Linked DNA regions of Callithrix jacchus. The protein of the gene in region 1 purifies or fractionates together with the protein of each later gene. This does not show direct contact. Links are inferred from orthologs where the notes say so. Each region holds a gene or a part of one and is shown on either strand. Other genes may lie near its edges.

Region 1 (4,824 bases):
ACCACACCCAGTCGGTGACGGGAGGCGCAGACTTGGACTCGCAGACCAGCACGGCCGTCTCGCCCTCGTTGATGTGTTCCGACGACTTCACAGCCTTCACTCGGGGGGGCCCTGACAGGAGGGTGAGAGAGGAGCCTGGAACCACAGGGCCCGCAGGAGAGGCCGTTCCCCTCCAGCTTCTCCAGGCAGTGGACAGTCGGTGGTGCCCAGCAGCCCTAGCCGCAGACTCACCTCGGAGCGGGATGCTGGCCCTGCCCGTGGGCTCAGGGAGGAAGACGCAGAAGTACTCTCCCCAGCGGTCATCGGGGTCCACCCTGCAAGCACAGCAGGTGGGTGAGCCATGTACCGGCTCTGCAGGACGCCTCCCAGGACCCAGGGTCCAGTGAAAAAGCAAGGCTGAACCTCAGCACAAGCCCTGGTCTCCTGCAGACCCAGGGAGAGCCAGGCTGGCAAGACCCCATGGGAAGCGGTGAGAAAACCAACAGACGGCCCCCGCCCCGGACCGACGCACCCACACCTCTGGTCCCTACTCTGCACCCTATACCCTGTGACCATCTTCCCGGCTCTGTGCTCCCAGGGCCGCCCCAGCCCAGTTATGACGAGGCTCCAGCCATGGTGGCTGGCGTCTGGGGTCCGCAAAGGGCAGGCCTCAGGGTGGCACTCTCTTGTGTCAGAAGCACGCGCTCATGAGTTGCACGTGTGCCAAGGACCTGGCAAGGGAGCAACAAGCTTAGCTCCCAGGGGCGTCCCTCAGGACCTTCCCTGGGGCTTCCCTCTGGGGGTCTGAGCAGATCTCATCCCTAACTTCCGCCTGGATCAAGCCTGTTCTCACGGCCCACAGAGGCCGATGGCAGCAAGAGAGCGGTGAGAAGGCCACGCAGTGGCGTCGCGGGGCCCGGCACTCACTCCAGGTTCATTCTCTGTCCAGGCTGCGAATCCTCCTGCAACACCACGTCCCCTTTCAGCCAGCGGTGCCCGGTGACCTCTGTGGCGTTGTCATTCAAAGAGCAGGTGAGGAGCGTCTTGGAGCCGACGTTTTCTACGGAGGTGGAAACTGCCCCAGCTGCGAGGCCCGGGGAGACGCAGTCAGCACACAGTGGAAGAGCACAGCCCGCGCTGCCTGCCTGACACCCAGGAACCCACAGCTCCTCCCTGAACGACTTGTTTTCGGCTCTGAAACTACACCGTGGCCCTGACACCCCGAGGGGAACATCTGGCTGCACCTCCGGAAGGTGCCTTTGCTGGCAGCTGATGGGCCCCACCCAGTGATCTCCTGTCCAGAGACACAGGAGGCTGGGTCCCAGGTGTCGGGACAGACAAGGCACCCACCCCGTCCCTGAGCAGGGACCAGGGCACAGAGCTCTTGAGCAGCCCCAGCACAAACTGGAAATTTCTGTCTGAAAAAAACAGCCAAATCGCCCCCCGGCCAAGGCTGCCTCCCTGGCCAAGGCTGCCTCCTTCGACGGCCCCTCAGATGCCCGCTGGTGGAGACCTGCCCCTGGATGGGGCTCCCAGGTGACCCCATCCACCCGATTCCAGGCTGACGGCACTGCAGCACTGGGAGCACCCGGTTCTCCTGCCAATCCCCATCGAGCAAATCTCTTGGTTAATTTACAATGTTCCGGTTAGGACTGAATGTGAAAATCCCTTAGGACGAGACGCTGAGCAGGACACAGAAGGTTCTGAGGGCAGCAAGCCTGGACTGAGGCTGGAGGGCCCCTCAGGCTGGCAGTGTGGACAGACACTCAGGAAAGGAGCCAGGCAGGCGCCCGGGGGAGCAGAGAGGGACGGCGGCACAGACAGTGCAGGGTCGAGGGAGGACAAGGACCCACCTGCTGGAAGGCAGAGCTCTGCCCGCCCCAAGCCAGGTCGCCCAGCGCTGGCGGTCAAGGGCGAGTCCACCCCTTCAGGTCTGGGCCCCCCTGTCCCAGTGGTGGGCCCAGCAGGGCAGAGAGGGGCAGGAGGCGTCTGGGTTCTATCAGCAGGAGCGGCACAGGAGGGAACCAGGGAGGCGGGGAGGGAGGCGCCCGCCACTCACGTTGCAGGACTAGCACCACCGCCTGGGCGCGGACCCACTTGACCCTGGGCGCCCGGGTCAGGTGGTTGCGGTCCGGGTCGTTGCTGGCCCGGCACTCGTAGGTGCCCGAGTCCTCCTCTGCGAGCGTGTCGATGGAGATGGTGCTGGCTGCGTGCTGGCGGTAGGTGGCGTGGATGTGGACGCGGTTCAGCCGGGCGCCGTCCCAGAGCTGGGAGCAGGTGTCGTTGGGACCGTGCCCCTCAAACCACCACTGGATCTCCGGCACTGGGCTGCCCACAGCCTCACAGTGCAGCTCCACACGGCCCCCCACCCGCCTCTGCTGGGACAGTGGCGCCCGCACAAAGCCAGCTGCAGGGAGAGCGGGCGCGGAGCCTCGTTAGTGCCGCCCTGGGGAAGGCCTCGCCCACAGGACTCCTGGCCAGGGCTGGGGGGAAGCTGCTTCCTTTCGGCTTGTGGGAGAGTGACGGGGCTGGGCTGCCAAAGGGCAGCGCATGAGAAAGACCGTGGGAGCCACCGTGGACGCCCCCCTGACTCCCACCCTCCCAGCAGACACACTGGCTTCTGATGGCATAAATGAGGAACCACACGTAGCTTAAAACACAAAACCCATGAAACTGGGCAGAACAGCCAGGAATTTAAGCCCCAAGGGCCTCTCTGTCAGAGGACTGTGGGCATGGCTGCCCCAACTTCCAGACTGCCGGTCCCCAGGGCAGCATCCTCTGCCTTCTGCCCGATACCCTGACCCGAGAGATCCGGTGAGCTGCAGAGAAAATAAAATCCCAAAGCCCACAGGGGCAGGGGGCTCTGTCCAGGAGGCCCCACTCAGGCTGTTAGGACGGCCTGCGGGTGGAAAGTGCTTGTGTCCTCAGCAATCTCAGGGCAGCCACCCAGAGAAGAGGATTTGGGAAGACGGAGCCGGCAGTGCCTCAGGGACCGTTACCACTGGCCCACCACCACTCCTCCCTTCAAAACAGAAGGGAAGGCCCCGGAGCTGAAAGGAGCACAGGAGAATCCACACGCACCCTCCCACTGTGCCTGGCACCCGCCTGCCAGGAACTGCCCTGCCCTGGGGAAGCACGGGGAGCAGGCGCGGGGACTGTGCAGCCCTTCCCTAGAACATCCAGGGTAAACATGCCTCGCCCACCTGCGCCACCTCCTGCCAGGACCGTGCAGCCCGTCTTAGAACACTCAGAGGAAGTGGGGAATGGGCGCACCCCACCCACCTGCAACTCCTGCCAGGACTGTGCAGCCCCTCCTAGAATGCCCTCTGAGGTCAGGCTCCCAGACACCGCTATAACATATGCATTCAAGGACACACGTCCGCAGACACACACCACACAGGCACACACACATGCTCACAGCTCTGAGACTGCATAGCAGTGCACATGTCATGGGCCCCAAGGCCCCAGGGACAGGGGATGTTCACAGCTGACCCCCTGAGGTGAACTCCAGGCAGGAGCAATTAACAACGTTTGGCAGTGCCACTTTCACAAAGGGTCCCCTCCTGGTAACCTACATTTCCCAGACTGCAAAACAGCAGCGACGTGCAGAGCCTGGCGAGGCGAGTCAGGGCAGGAAGTGCAGCCAGAGGCAGCCCGGCTGGCAAGCTCCTTCCGGCCCCACAGTGGCCCCCTCCTTCTCCTCCTCCTCCTCCTCCTAAGGCCCTGCGAAGCTGCCCTCCACATCCTCCTCACTGTCCTCACCCGGGGTGCTAAGGCAGGGCTGGCTCCTGAGTCAACACACCCCACCTTCAGGCAGGGCAGGGCCAGGGCACGGGGCAGAGCAGAGGAGCTGGAGGCCTGCAGCCAACCTGCCCCCACCCACCTTCCCCCCAGGCCCTGAAGAGGCCCCTGTGATCCAGCCTCCAGCCTCGGGAATACCCAGGCGTCCTGTGGGAAACCGAGCCAGCCTGTGCCTCGAAGTCCAAGGCTCTGAGGGGCCGTCTGCACCGGTGACCGTGCTGCAACTGGGTCCTCCACCTTCTCAGCGGGTGGACGGCATCACTCCCAAAGGGACCAAAAGGCTCTGGACAGAACAACCGCCCGTGGGCCCTCCGTTTGCTGATGGCGCTGGTGTCTGTTCTGAAGTGCCACTAGTGTGGGCCACAGGAGGAGAAAGCCTCCATAGAGGCTCCTGGGTACGCTGGAGAGCCCCCCACCCCACCGGGCAACCCGCCCTCCATGCCAGGAGCCTCCACTCAGGAGCACTAGGAGGAGGGGCAGTGCCTGACTCTCAGCCACAGGCCCCAGAAAGGTGAGCATTCGATTCTGGCCACATGACCCATAACCCATGTTCTCAAGTAAAGTCACCTTCATCTAAAAACAGCCACCGCCTCCTTGCCCACTCGGCAGCCAGGCTGGGGCTCAGGGCCAGGCAGGCCTCGTGGTACACAAGCAGCCCCACAGGATAAGGCCGGCCGCCCGCCCCCATCCGCCCTCCTCCCCACCCACTGCAGCACTCTGACAGAAGCCAGAGAAAACAGCTCTGGGAGGCGTCTGCGGGCACCTCCCTCCCCACCCCACCTGCTGCAGCCAGGCACTCCCACTCCTCCCATAGGAGGCTCAGGGGTGAAGCCCTCTGCCCTTGGGACCCAGCCGGCACACTGGGGCCCTCCAGTCTGACAAGCCCACAGGAGCTATAGATGGCCAACCTCAGGCACTTGCCCCACCCAAGCCCCCAGAGGCCCCTGAAGCAAGGTTCAGGAGACGCAAACAGGGTCACGAATACACAGAGCAAACATCAGTGTCCACCCCACGCAGGACACAAGGCTGTGTAGCCCAGACCTT
Region 2 (4,824 bases), about 39 Mb from region 1:
GTCAAATGAGGAAGGAGGGGCACATCTGAACCCAGGTCTGTCTGAATCCACATATAACCTCTAAGCCAGATGTTGTAAAGTGGCAACCCAGAGGCCAAATCGAGTCTGGGGCTTGCAGATGGGGTTGTTTTTTGTTTCATCATGGTAATTTTTTTTTTTTTGAGACACGGTCTTACTCTGTTGCTCAGGCTAGAGTGCAGTGAGTAGGGCGATTCTTCCTCACTGCAGCCCCAAACGCCTGGGTTCAAGCAAACCTTCTGCCTTGGCCTCCCAAAGGCTTACAAGTGTGAGCCATAACGCCTGGACTCAATCAGGGCATTTCTAAAGCCCAAATTTCTAGCACCCCTCAAAAACCTGGACCATGTGTCAGCTCGGAGATGCATCCTGACCCAGCACACAGTGCTGGGGGTGAGGAGCGGCCATGTCTCTCCTGAGTGTAGGCTCCTTGAAGGCTACCACGCTCCTACCACCCAGCTGCCCTCCCTCATCACCTGGGAGCTGGCCAAGTCATAGACCCTGGAGCACTGCTATTTTCCTGGCAGGAGGCAGGGCAGAGCCAGCCATCCTCCACCTGGCTCCCTTGGGGGTCAGGAGGGGAAGGGGAGTTCTGTCAGCTTGGTGTGCTGCCATCTGCAGCCTGGGGATGGGTAGCTGGGGGTGGGTTACCTGCTTCATGATGAGGCGGGACAGGATGTTCATGACGAAGCCCCCCAGGCGGGGGTACATGGTCAAGGACTGGATGACGGTCCTCATGAGCAGCATGGGCAGGGGGCTCTGCTCCATCAGCTGCTGCATCACCACGGCCAGCACCTCTGACGTGTACACGTTCCGCTCCGCAAAGCACAGGTTGGTGGCTGCGAGGAGGCGGAGAGTGGGCCTGTCCTCTCTGCCCAGCTGCCCCCTGGGAGGTGGGAGCGCCAGCACCCTTTGAGAGCCCCGCCCTGTTGTCTGCCCACATGAGGGGAAGAGCCAACCCTGACTTCTAAAGTCCCCGGCGGAGACAGGAGACTCCCCTGACCCAGCAGAAGACACACTGCAGCCCCGCGCTTGGAAAACCTGCAGGCCTGGTTCAAGGGAGAAGACATTCAACTCCAGGAAGCCCCACAGTGAGTGGAACAGGGAGCCCGTGACACCCTCTCTTTGAGGATGACTTTGGGAAAGATGTGTTGCCAAGCCCTGGGGGAGTGGCAGGGCCCCCCACCCCTGTTAGGGAGAAAAGGCAGCCACTGGCTTCCACCAGCCCCTCCAGGGAGAACAGCAATCCACAGACCAGCTCAGCAGAGGGCTAAGGAACTGCCCACCCACTCCTGACAGGGACACAGGGCTTGCGCTGGTGCTGGAAAGATGGGGGGTGCCAGGCCAAGGTCTGTGTGGGGAATAAGGGTAGAATCAGTAGAGTAATAGTGAAGGGAGGGACAAGAGGCGACTGGAGCCAGGGCATACAATGAGCCCCCAGCTTAACACCCAGTGCCAGTACCAGTAGGACCCAGAGGGTTAGCACAGCACGAGCACCCACGAAGGCAGGCCCTGGGGTCTGTTCCCCGGGTGGGTGGCTATGCCCCAATCCACTGTGCTAATGAGAGGCCCCAGGAGCTGCCTTTGAAGCCCTTCCCCAAACACCACTTGCCATGTGAGTGTCAACCAGGAAGTCTTTATTGAGCCAGAAGAGCACCCCCCACAACCCCCAAAATCCTTGAGAGGCTAACAGAGAACAGGGGTGGGACCTCTAAGGGAGGGGGAGGCATAGACAAGTGGGGACGAGGCTGAATGGGCAGAGCAGAGAGTGGCAGAGGACCTGCCAGAAACCGAGGAAGCCCCGCTCCTCCTCAGGGCCAGGTGGTCACTGGTGCTGCCCACTCAGCCACCTAAAGGCTCCAGAATCACCCCTCCCCTCCTTCCCTGTCAGCTGTGCCTCCCGTGAGCCTCTGATCAACTTTCCATACAATAGCCTGCAGGGGGCTTTGGAAAGATCAGACCTGACTCCCTTCCCAGAGACCCTCAAGAGACAGGCCAAATTCCCACCTGACCTGCAAGAGCCCCCAGGGGCGCCCTCCCCAGTGGCCACAGCCTGACCTCTTCTCTAGACCAGGGCCCTCCTTTGTCCCCTAGGTCACCAGGCTTGGCACTGCAGGTCCAGAACCAGCTGGCGAGCGCCTCCTCGGTCCCTGCAGCCTCCTGCCTACTCGTCCTTCCCTGGTCTCAGCCCAAGGGTCCCCTCTTTCGAGACCTCCCTGATGTCCGACACCCAGGTTGGATTAGGTCACCCCTCTGCCCAGTCTCAGGACACTCCTCAGTTGTTACTGGCCAGGGACTTCCTGTGTCCCTCCCTGGACTGTACACCCTGGAAGGACAGGGCTGGGGCTCTCCCTCCCGTGTCCCCAGAACCACCCAGGATGGATATGGGGGAGCAGAGATGCTGAGTTTTCTTAATGCTGGAACAGACTACCAGGAGTGGGTCTAGTTATAGACAAGTTCTCCAGAGGAACAGGGTGGTCTATGGGGGAGCAAACAGTGCACAAGGAAAGGACTGGACTTCGTGACCTTGAGAGTGAGGCCAGCCATCTGCTGGTGCCCAAGCAGGGGGAAAATGTGGCCTGGGTGCTGGGGACACCAGCTGGAGGACTGTCTAGCCCGCAGTGTGCAGGCCTGGGCGTGTTGGAAGAAAAAGGTGGGGCTGTGTAGGGTAGGCCCTGCCGACCCCTCCAGGGACCTGGCTCCTGGTCGCCTGTGTGACCTCTGGCAAGGCCCTTTCTCCTTGGGCCTAGGCTCCTCAGGGCATCTAGGAGAATCTGGGTCCACAAATGGTCTTGGGGTGTGTGTGTGTGTGTGTGTGTGAATCCCCTCAAATTGTATGCAAACAATATGAGCATACTGTCCTGGGAACGGTAGAACTGCCCGCAGATCACCAAAGGGGTCTGGGAATGTGAGACCATAGCCCTGGCCTCTGAGCCTGGAGCTCTCTCCTCCCTGCTGGTCTCCCCCGGCTTTGGCCCCTGCTCAGTTTTAATGTGGGTTTGACATTTCCATAAGCTCCTCTCTTGACTTCAAAAGTTTCTGAGAGAACTTGCGGGGAAGGTTAGGAAGTAAGTCACTGAAAAGCTGTTTCAGGCTGGAGCATAGAAGTGAGCGGCACAGGGAGGAAGCCCCTTCCCCAGGTCTGAGGGTGAGAAGAGGAATCAAAGGACAGCGGTCTTTGGAATAGAGAAGGCGATAGTGAGGGTGTCCAGCTCCGTGGGACAGGATGGCTCCTGGCCCAGAAACCTTGCTCAGGGAGGGGTGGAGGGGCACTCTCAGGGGAGGTGGTACTCAGACCTGGAACCAGCAGAGCTGGGGCTCCCACTCAGGTCCATCTCACTTCAGATTCTGTTTTTTCCACTACACCACTTAGCTTCTGCGAGGCCGAGTAAGTCACCTAACCTCTCTGGAGCCTCCAATCCCTGTCTACACAATGGGATTGAACATACTCACCAGGTGGCACATTCGAGGACAAGCACGCTCAGGCCTGTAGGCGTTCAGGGAGAGCCCAGTGCAGAGCATGCTCAGTGAGTGTGGGCCATGATGAGCTAGCCAGTTTGTCACTGACCCTGCTGCCGTGGAGGCAAGCTCTCCTGCCTCATCTACCCCAGCCCACAAGTGCCCTGGAGCCCTGGGTCTGCCCTGCTGCAGCACCTCTGACTACCACTCATGGTGTGCCCTGCTTCCTTCTGTTCCTCAGGGCGAGGGCCGTGGCTACCGACTGCTTTAGGCCCACTCTGTGCCAGCCCACAGCAGGTGCGTCAGAGTGCCTTAGACAGAGGCAGAAAAAGTCGGGGTTGTAAAGGGTAAAACTTGGGAGGAAGGAAGGAAGGAGGAGGAAGGAGGGAGGAAGGAGAAGGGACAAAAAGGAGGGAGGGAGGGAGGAAGGGAGGTGTCTCTGCAGAGCTGACTGGTGGGGCTGTGAGTTGACTTGGCAGATTCCAGTGGAGGCATGTGGGTGATTGAGGTCCTGCCCGTGGGGCCACAGGGGCCAGGCCAGTGGAGTGGGGAGAGCACCTCACCTTTGATGATGGACTTCATGTCACACTTCACGGAGTCGATGTTGTGTAATGCGATCAGGAGCTCTCCAGGGTTCAGGGGGGACAAGGCCGAGTTTCCCTCACCTGCAGCAGGCAGAAGGAAGGGCGGGGGAGACAGTACAGTTGCTTAAGTGAAGAGACGGGTTTGAGTTTCTCAGATTGGGGGAGCTGCGAGCAAAGATGAGGTACCCTCTGCTTTCAGGGCTGGAGCAGGGCAAGTAACTGACAACAGAAAAAGGGAACGCTGAAGGCAGCAGGTACCCTCAGGCAGCCTGAGGTCACCAAAGTGTGCTCCTCCCCATCCGGGACTCCCACCATAGGTAGAGTGTGGCATGGCCCTGAGCTGTGTACCCCTAAGGGCAGGGAAGACCACCTCATTGTGTAGTCCCCAACACAGACACCAACAACAGAGACACCAAGGCAGCACAGGGGCTCATGCGCATTTGCAGAACAGGGCAGGATGGGGCCAGGCTGGACTTCCATAAAGTGGCTGGAACCTTCCCCTGCGTGGGGCCTGGATGGGAGGAGGCTGGGGGTAGGGAGGTCTTTGCTGCTCTTTTGATGGTACCAGAGCCGTCTATGTGTGTGTTTTAAACCACCAGGGTCTGCGTGGAACAGATCAGCCTCCATTCTTTCTCTGGTTCCAACCACCGGGGTAAGGGGCAAAGAACCTCTTCTACCTTACTTGCTAGTTTTTCTAAGTTGAAAATTTTACTTTCGTTTCTTTCTGACCTCGTCAAAGGAAATGCCCCTGGCCCCAGCTCCATGG
Region 3 (3,813 bases), on another chromosome or scaffold:
GTGAGACCCTATCTCAAAAAAAAAAAAAAAAAGGCAGCTGGGCATGGTGGCTCACCCTGTAATCCCAGCACTTTGGGTGGCTGAGGTAGGCAGATCATTTGAGGTCCAGAGATTGAGACCATCCTGGCCAACATGATGAAACCCTGTCTCCACTAAAAATACAAAAATTAGCTGGGTGTGGTGGCATGTATCTGTAGTTCCAGCTACTTGGGAAGCTGAGGCAGGAGAACCGCTTGAACCTGGGAGGTAGAGATTGCAGAGGGCCGAGATGGCACCACTGTACTCCAGCCTGGCGACAGAGCAAGACTTAGTCCCCGCAAAAATAAAAATAAATAAAATAAAATAAAGCTGAACACATTGCTTTGTCTTTGCTGTCAAATCAAAGCAGGAAAAACTCATTTCCACTGAACACAGTGGAAGTAGGATTACATGTTCTAAGTTTATTTTTATGCATTAACTATTTGTGGAATTGTTTCTTACTTGTTCTCGTATTTAAATGGCCCAGTTTCCAAATAAAGCATAGGTTTCAAGCCTTAAGAATCGACATGGAAACAGCAAAGGATTTACTGAATCCCAAATCCATTTGCTTTCCCCTGAGATAATTATATTCTTTCCTCCAAGCTTCCTGCTGTTTCATAGTCAATAGCTTCTAATAGGTCTCTTTCACTTCCCAACTCCCAGGAGCTGTTCTCCATCTGGTTTTGTTCCAGACAGTGCAAAAGATGCTAGTTCAAGCTTCTTGAAACTCCTATGCAAGCAAGGTGTGTTCTCAAGGGTAAGCTTCTTCAATAGCTCTTTGTAGATCTGGCCAGGTGCGGTGGCTCACGCCTGTAAACCCAGCACTTTGGGAGGCCGAGATGGAGAGATCACTTGAGGTCAGGAGTTTGAGACCAGTCTGGCCAACATGGTGAAACCCCATTTCTACCAAAAAATACCAAAAAACCCCACAAAACAAACAAAAACAAAAGCAGCTGGGCATGATGATGTACACCTGTGGTCACATCTACTCCGGAGGGAGAGGTGGGAGAATCACTTGAACCTGGGAGGTGGAGGTTGCAGGATCGCACCACTGTACTCCAGCCTGAGCTCATTCAAGTGATCCTCCTACCTCAGCCTTTTGAGTAGCTGGGACTACAGGTGTGTGCCACCACGCCCAGCTAATTTTTGTATTTTTAATAGAGATGGCCAGGATGGTCTCAATCTCTTCACCTCGTGATCTGCCCACCTCGCCTGGGCCAGTTTTCTTTTAGTATCCAGAGCTTCAGTGCTGATGTCATACCTTCATTCAAAAGTCAATGTAAAAATTTAATACATATGGTAAGCTGAAAAGTGTTAGTGAAACAGGAGCTGAGCTTTGCTTTTCCAAACATGTTTCCAAAAGCTTATTTTATTTTAAAACACACACACAGTGTTGGATACAAAGGCCTTTAACCACTGTGGTGGGGAAGAGCAAACTGACTGCTTCCAATGATCGTCTCTTCCCTCTGCATCCACTGTTCTCGAAGTCTCAGGGAGTAGGAGAAGGCGCGTCTCTCCCTTCATTTCCCTGTTTGTTGTAATGAGTCCTTTGATGACAGTAAGTACGTGACTGAATTTTCCATAACTATTTGTCGATTATCAAAGTTTTGCAGTGGCTGGTTTTCCTATTGGTGTCTTACAACCTGAGATTAAAAAAAAAGAGATGTATCTCATGAAATGATGTTGATTTTGCCCTTCTTCATACAGCTGTTCCTTAAACGACTGCCCAGGGAGACAGTGGACACTTATGCAGAGCTGTACAGACTGGCCAGTACCCATGGGGACACTAGCCCCCTCCACAAGGGAAGCGGTAGGCGCTCCAAGAAGTGACGGTGTGACCAGAGCCACAGGGCTAGGAGTTGAACCCTGTCATGTTTTCTGAACTACCAGTCCAATATGTTCACGCTCACATTACATCTGCTTCCTGTGATCACAAAAACAGTACTTGTAAGATGATCCACTCAAGGACACTGTGCTATTCAATATAATCTACAGATATTTTTTCCAAATGTTAACAACCTCCTTTCTAAAATGGCCCCATCACTGCTAGGAAATGTGTTTTTCATCTCCTCTGACTGTATCTGTGTTTATGTCAACACTCAAGGACTCTTACTGTCAAGGAAGGCAACACTCAAGGACTGTTTTTTAGGCTGGACTATTTCTTTGTAGCTGATAGGCTCTAGAGAAGAGGAAGGGTTGGATTATTCCCACAAGGATGTGCTCAGCCCCTAATTCTGAGTTCAGAAAGTCTATGTGATAGGGACACTGACCCTAATCCCTCACTTGGAAAAGCAGCAATGCAAGACAGTGAGGGCATGAAACAAAGGGTGAAAATGAGGCGCTCTCTCCGAGGCAAGGATGTGAAGGGGCTGGGCCTCTGGCCGAGATCAGTCACGTTAGGGACAGACTCTTTCTATTGTGTAAGACTGCTTCTTTCATGCCTGTTGTGTTTTGTTAATTTTCTTTGCATTTTCTCTTTAGCTTCCTTGAGAAAATGCTACACTATAATTCCCTGTTTATGTTAGAAACCTACTACTTACTGATCATTTTGATAAAGTATTTGGTTCCACAGCATACTTTCTTATTTTAATTGATAACAAAATGTGAAAACTCGTATTTTATTAAACTGCACTTACCAAGCATTTCTTCTAATTTGGTTGTGGCAGGTTCATTCACATTAAATATACAGTTATTATTTCTAGGAGAAGATAACAAGATTTATTATTACATAAACTCTGGGGAAAAGACAGCTTTTCTATTTTGTTCCTGACGGTAGCTATTGTTTTCAACTGCCTTCCCCAAGGCCAGTCCTAAGTAGTCGAAAGCCTCGGGCTCCTGTCCCACCTCCCGGCTGCTTGCTTCATTCTTCTGACCACTTAAGAGACATGACTGCCAGAGGTTACATATTAAGCTTTACCACTGTTAAATTCAATCCCTTGAATGAATTTGTTTATATGTTTATTCAAACATATAAACACATATTTATATGTTTATATACATACACATGTCTGTATCTATATATGTATTACATATGTATTTATCTATTATATATGTATTATGTATGTATACACTCATATGCCCACTCCACTCCCAAAAATCTTTCTTGTAATTATAAATTTCAACATTAGGTCAAAGCAAAAATATTGGCCTAAAAGTACTTTCTTTCTTTGCTTCAACTGCATTTCTATTCAAAACCACGTATAATTTTCAGGGTAACTCATACTGACTTAATGAATTAGGGGATAGATAAGTAAAGTACAATATAACGTTTCCTGGATCATCCATTTCTATGTCTCTGTGGATTTTCTGCTGAAATGTCATTCGTTTCCCTGTTTCTTGAGCACCCACGGAATCTTGTACAGCACTTACATCTTCTTTTTCTCCACTACTCCGAGCCTCACACAAGCTGCTAAGGCATTTTTCTGCACATCAGAAGATAATACATCGTAACATTGAGAGGTACCTAAAATCAGGAGTGAGGAAGAGTTAGTTGACCAGTTTTTGTTCTCAACTAAAGGAAATCAGCACCCACAGAGCAGTGACTGACCTTGATCGAGAAGCTGACTTGTGAATTTTCTGACTGCGGCCAAGTACTGTTTCTCACTGAAGTGCTCCTCTTCTTCACTCAAAAGGTACTTGCAAATTATCTGATTTTAAGAGGAAGGATGAGAGGAACAGAAACAGAAAAAAAAAAAAAAAGACAATAAACAGTAAATAACTTTACATTGCCCCTCTTAAGAGAATGACATATCACAGCAGAGCAGCATAAAGACCCTCCAAGGAATCAGCACAGAG
Region 4 (5,333 bases), on another chromosome or scaffold:
GGTGGAGGCAGGCAGATCACCTGAGGTCAGGAGTTCGAGACCAGCCTGGCCAACATGGTAAAACCCCATCTCTACTAAAAATACAAAAATTAGCCAAGTGTGGTGGCACACACCTGCAGTCTCAGCTACTCAGGAGGCTGAGGCAGGAGAATCACTTGAACCTGGGAGGCAGAGATTGTAATGAGCCAAGATTGAGCCACTGCACTCCAGCCTGGGGGACGGAGAGATACTCCAACTCAATTTAAAAAAAAAAAAAGAAAGAAAGAAAGAAATGGGTAAGAAAATGAAGAGAAAAAAGAGGACCGAAATGAGAGAAAATTGGGAAGGGTGCTAGACAGGGGGAAGCCAGACTCCCTGGGTCTAATTCACAACTCTGCTTCTCCATGTGCATGTGCCTCTGCTTCCTGGGACAGGGATGACAGCAAAGAAGGACAAAGGTGGTGTGAGGTGTTGGGTTAGGGTGACAGGATCAAGGAGACCTTTTCTCAACCCTCTGTGTAAAAGGTTGGGAAGTAGTGGCCAGTCACCTTCACAGCATAGCTCATAGCTGTAACCTGTGGGGTATGTGTCAGTGTGCCTTCTGTAAGCAAACAAACATGAGTGAGTGTGCTTGCTGAGGTCGGTGTGGGAACCTGTCAGTCGATGAGGTTGTGTTGTTGTGTGAACCAGCTGATGGTGCGTGTTTGTGCTTGAAAAAGCCATAAAGTTCTATGCAATGTCTATGGGTGGCACTGTTGCACAATGCTGGTGGGTGTGTGGGTATGGGGGTGTGATTAACAGTTTACAGGCTGTGTCTAAGTGTGCATGGATGTCTGAGTGTGTGCAAATTAAAATGGAAATGTGTGCCGGGGTATGATACAAGTACAGGAGAGTACAAGGGCTTTGAAGCCCGTCTGTCTTGGCCTTGAATCGTTGGCTCTGTCATTAACCGATGTATAACCTTGGGCCAGTCACTCAATCCCCAATTTCCTCAGCTAGGAAATGAGGCTAATAATAAGTACCTTTCAAGATTGCCGTGAGGACTAGAAATGATACTGTATAGACAAAACTTTTGGTGTCATAAAGGGGCAGCAATTTCCATGCACTGTCAGTATACCTCTAGTGGGTACAGGGACAAGAGGGAACAAAACATGACCTGTATGTGAGGTGTGAGGGAGGAGGGGTGCGTGCATGCGTGTGCGTGTGTGTGTGTGTGTGTGTGCGCATACAAAACAATTTCTTCTCCTTCTCCAAGGAGCCCCTAGTCAGACAGGAGCAGGAAGGTGGGAGGGGACATACAGGTGTCCACGGACTCCTTGGGTTTCTTGGTCCCGGATCTAAGTGAGTAAGGGGTGGAGAGGCCAGTAGGAGCTGCAGGAAGCCAACCACAGGCAGAAGCTTCCTTTTTTTCCCCTCCGCCCAGCAACCGTTGAATACCGCCACCCACATCCACTCCCTACCTCCACCCTCACACCTCCTCCGCCCCTACTCAGCTTTCTTTTCAACAAGTGAGGGCCAGAGCAGCAAAGAAAGCTGAGGGGGGAGAGGATTCCTCCCCTTTCTCTCTCCATTCCCCCTTAAGACGAACCAGGAAGCAACTGCAGGAATCGGGCCACCTTAACAGTAGAGTAATGGTTTGGCCTCGTGCCAAGTCCCACCTCTGTTCCAGCTCCCGCTCCTCCCCTCTCTCTTCCCGCACTGCCTGGGGAGAGCTGGTGAGCAAGAGTCTGGCCGGAGTTAGCTGGAGCTGTTGCCATGACAAGCATTTTCTTAAGAAAGCTCCGCTGTTGAGATCGTCCAAAGCTGGGGGCTGGGAGGGGGGCACGAACTTCCTGGGAAACCATCCCTCTGAAGAGAGCAAGATCAGAGACCCGCCTAGCTCCCCTGCACCCGTTTTCTTTCAGGAACCTGAGAGGTCCTTCCCATTGGAAGGGCAGGGGGAGGAGACCCAGCCCACTCCCCGGCCTTAGCCGGAAAGGCAAGAGAGCAAAGCCAGCATCTCTAGCTTGGTTGCCACACTGGGGAGACTGGTGGTGGTCACCCCACCCTACCCCCATCCATGGAAACCCGGAGGGAGAGTCCCGCGCGGAGAAACCTGGATCTTTGCTAGAAAGAGAGGTAGGCTTGCAGAGAATGAATTGACTTGTGATTTGCAAACTTTGTTTCTTTCTTTTCTCTCAATGGCTTCTAAAACTCCCAGGTTTTCCTCTTTCTAGCATGTTTCATGCGACTGGTTTTGGAGGGTTTTTAAAAATATGTGTGTGTGCAGTGTGTGCACAGATTTGTCAAATACTGTTTTACCTCTTATCAGTTCTGAGAAACCATGTAATGGAACAAGTGATCTTTTCCTAGTTCTTGTCATTCCTGGGCTATGGGGTTAGAGGAATGGAGGCACTCTCTTTTTGACACCAAAATTGAGCTCTTGGAAAAGACATTTATCTCCCCTCCTTCACCCCATTCTGTTCCTGTCCTCCCCTTCCCCCTTGGCTTGGGAATGGGACGCAGGATGGAAAACTGTTGCAAAAATATTTTCCGTGTCTGTTCCCTTTCTCGAAAGCCCAAAAGAGAGATGGGGGAAAAAGGGGGGGAACCAAAGAAATCTTCTGCGGGAAAGAGGGGCTGCAGCGGGAAGTAGGGGAGGGGCACTCTGGGGCCGTGGGGTGGAGGTGGGCTGGGAGTTGGAAGGAGCGGGGAAGGACAGGGCACAAATGAAATTTCTTTAGCTTTGCAGAGAAACCTCAGCAGTTTCTCTGTGCTGCTTGCAAAACATCCTCAGACTTTCACATCTATAATTAGCTGTGGAAAAAGCTGGGAGTTCCCTCGTACCGCTGTTGTTTGAGTGTGTGTGAACGTCCAGAACCAACTGTATGAGTGTCTCCGAGGGCACCGCCCCATACATCGCAGGTCCCAAAGGGGAGGAAGGAAGGAGAACGGTGAATTGAAAAGTTTCCAATTTCGAGGCTGGAGACTGTGGGGCTGGTGAGTGCTCGGTGGACTGGGTGGGCCACAGGCATCTGTGGGCGAGTCCCTGAGCGTCTTGGGTCACTGCCGTGGCTAGCCGAAGAGCTAGGAATTAAGGCCGGGATTGTCCTCCCTTCTCTCTCTCTCACGATCTCTTTCTCACACAAACTTGGCTCGCTCTTGGTAGAGGGGGCTGCTGGCTTCCTTCCCCGAGTCCAGTCTGACCTCATACACTCCTCCACCTCCCTGAGGGCACCGGCTCTTCTCCAGCTGGGTGTGGAGGGCGCAGGAGTGGTCAGCCACATCATGGGAGAGGAGTGGGCACTGCTGTCCAGAAGCACCTCCCTCCTGGGCATTCCTGCCGGACTTACAATAACTTGCAGACCTGATGCCGGCGCCTGCTGGCTGGGCAGGGGGAATGTCAGATGAAGAAATAGGCCGGCACTCAACTGAGGCCCCTGTGGGTCGGGGAAGGGCGGAGGGAGGGAAGGGAAACAAAATCCCATTCTGCAGTGCCCCTCTCCTCAGGGTGAGGAGTCTGGGAATCTAGAGACCCTGGCCCCGCTCCTTCAGCTCCTCCCCAAGCTGCCCCTTCTCCAGCCCTTCCCATTGGAGGCCCTGCTGCAATGCACCGCTCCACTCTGGGCCCTCTACCTGCAGGAAGGGAGGAGACCAGGGTCATTCCAGGCTGGGCCAGGCCCAGGAAAGGAGCCTGGGGGTGACGAGGGGCTGGGCCCTTAGCGTTTAGGAGCTGGATCTCCTTCCTCGGCCTGGGTCTCCCCCACAAGCAAGGTCTCCCTCCTTGGCTGAGGGTGATGGCTTGGGGAGCAGAATCTGGGAGGGCAGGAAGGACGGTGGCAGCTTGGTAAGGGATGTTGTGGAAGGTGGGCCCTAAACCCTGAAGCAGAGAAGTCCGTGCGAATCAGGCTAGCCGGGAGGAAACACCTGCTTTCAGGCCCAGGGCTTGGAGGAGTGGTAAAGGCTAGAGCTGAGAAACTAGGGGAGACGGAAGCAAACGACTTGTCGGAGAGCTCATCTCGGGGCTGGGGAAGCAACAGGAACCGATTTTCATTTCGAGGTGTTGATTGATCTGACTGCACCCCCAGGCTGTAGGCTAGACAGCTCTTCCCCACCGGCATTCTGGTCGAGAAGGGCCTGAGGCCTTCTCCAGTGGGCAGGGACCCACAGACCGAACGCCCGTGTTCTGGAGGGAGGGGATCCATTTCTTTGCGCCTCGGGAGTCCCATCCTCCCTGCCACCATCTTGCTGAGGTACAACTCCAAAAATCACGCCGCTTCCGCAGCGGCCTCCTATCGTGGGGGCCCACAGTGCCACTATTCCTGCAGCCGGCCTTCCTATTTTCAGGAATCTGATGAGGGGTCGATGCTGAAGGGCTCGGGGACGGCTTCTCCAGGAAGTCGTTATTTAGCGCGCACCGGGGTACCTGCTCCCGCGGCTTTGAGCCCGGGGTGGCGCCCAAAGAGGGAATCGGCTCCCGCGGCCCCAGCCCTTCCCCCGGGGCTCGGGGCCGGATCGAGTGCGCGCTCCCGGGGCCCCTCCTCTCTCCGCGGCCTCTGCGACCCCGCCCCGCCAGCCTCTCCGCCGCTGGGCTCCACCCTCCGGGGCTCTGCCGTAGTCTGAGAACTCCGAGGAGAATGCGCTCAGAGCTGCGAACCGAGGCTTCCTGCCTCCCAGGTCGTGCCGAGCCCCAGTCCCTTCTCCCTTCCATTTACCACCACGTCTCGGGATTCAAGGTCAAGTGGGAGGCGCGCAGCCCGTCTTACCCCCGGGAGCCCAGCGCCCAACGCCCAGCGCCGAGCCTGGGACATTAGAGCTCTGGGTCAGTGCGCGCTGAGAGAATAAGGGCAGTTTGGGGGGCTTTGGAATCAGCCTGATGCCAGCGGGTTCCTAACCCGCCGTCCGGCCTCCACGGTAGAGGCGACAGGGCGTGGCTAGGCAGATTTATCACATTGCTGTGGTCAGTAGAAAACCAAAAATAGGAAGGCCCAGTTAGGGGCGGAAGGAGAGCAGTTAGAATTTGCTGGGTGTGGGTGCTGGAAGAGGTAAGGCACGGTGTAGGGGCTGGACGTCCTGGGCCAGGATATCGGGAGGCTTTACTCTTACCCACTCCCACTGACTGGGAGGTCCCCAGAGGAACAGGGGCTGGGCTGCTCCCTGCCACCTGTCAGCAGGTCACACCTTCCACCGGAGACCGCCTCTTACTCAAGGATTTAGTTTCCCTCCAAAACTCCAGAACCCAGATGGGCTCTTTTCTCTCTTGTTTTTCAATGCTCCCGGCAAAGACATGGATCAGCCCTCCCCACTAGGAAAGAATATTGCGGACCCACTAAGCATTGGACAGAGGAAAGGATCTTGTTCATTCTTGGTCCCCA

Evidence for each region.
Region 2: the proteins of BSG (region 1) and SYMPK purify together in Homo sapiens (co-immunoprecipitation; 3 studies listed by BioGRID and IntAct, counting the BioPlex papers as one, with this or other methods). This does not show direct contact. The link is inferred for Callithrix jacchus from reciprocal best matches to the Homo sapiens genes BSG and SYMPK.
Region 3: the proteins of BSG (region 1) and GNPAT purify together in Homo sapiens (affinity purification with mass spectrometry; 3 studies listed by BioGRID and IntAct, counting the BioPlex papers as one, with this or other methods). This does not show direct contact. The link is inferred for Callithrix jacchus from reciprocal best matches to the Homo sapiens genes BSG and GNPAT.
Region 4: the proteins of BSG (region 1) and ATP2B4 purify together in Homo sapiens (affinity purification with mass spectrometry; 3 studies listed by BioGRID and IntAct, counting the BioPlex papers as one, with this or other methods). This does not show direct contact. The link is inferred for Callithrix jacchus from reciprocal best matches to the Homo sapiens genes BSG and ATP2B4.

The regions. Positions count from the first base shown.
Region 1 is NC_133523.1:533,893-538,716, reverse strand, and holds part of BSG (basigin), read right to left. Parts: intron 2,387-4,824; coding exon 2,039-2,386; intron 1,064-2,038; coding exon 907-1,063; intron 315-906; coding exon 232-314; intron 112-231; coding exon 1-111.
Region 2 is NC_133523.1:39,974,206-39,979,029, forward strand, and holds part of SYMPK (symplekin), read right to left. Parts: intron 4,140-4,824; coding exon 4,038-4,139; intron 855-4,037; coding exon 667-854; intron 1-666. UniProt on the Homo sapiens protein: Scaffold protein that functions as a component of a multimolecular complex involved in histone mRNA 3'-end processing. Specific component of the tight junction (TJ) plaque, but might not be an exclusively junctional component. May have a house-keeping rule.
Region 3 is NC_133520.1:53,563,624-53,567,436, forward strand, and holds the end of GNPAT (dihydroxyacetone phosphate acyltransferase), read right to left. Parts: intron 3,666-3,813; coding exon 3,566-3,665; intron 3,482-3,565; coding exon 3,388-3,481; intron 2,717-3,387; coding exon 2,655-2,716; intron 1,662-2,654; coding exon 1,618-1,661; 3' UTR 1,359-1,617; downstream 1-1,358. UniProt on the Homo sapiens protein: Dihydroxyacetonephosphate acyltransferase catalyzing the first step in the biosynthesis of plasmalogens, a subset of phospholipids that differ from other glycerolipids by having an alkyl chain attached through a vinyl ether linkage at the sn-1 position of the glycerol backbone, and which unique physical properties have an impact on various aspects of cell signaling and membrane biology.
Region 4 is NC_133520.1:30,691,185-30,696,517, forward strand, and holds the start of ATP2B4 (plasma membrane calcium-transporting ATPase 4), read left to right. Parts: upstream 1-1,676; 5' UTR 1,677-2,097; intron 2,098-2,809; exon of another isoform or gene 2,810-2,958; intron 2,959-5,333. UniProt on the Homo sapiens protein: Calcium/calmodulin-regulated and magnesium-dependent enzyme that catalyzes the hydrolysis of ATP coupled with the transport of calcium out of the cell. By regulating sperm cell calcium homeostasis, may play a role in sperm motility.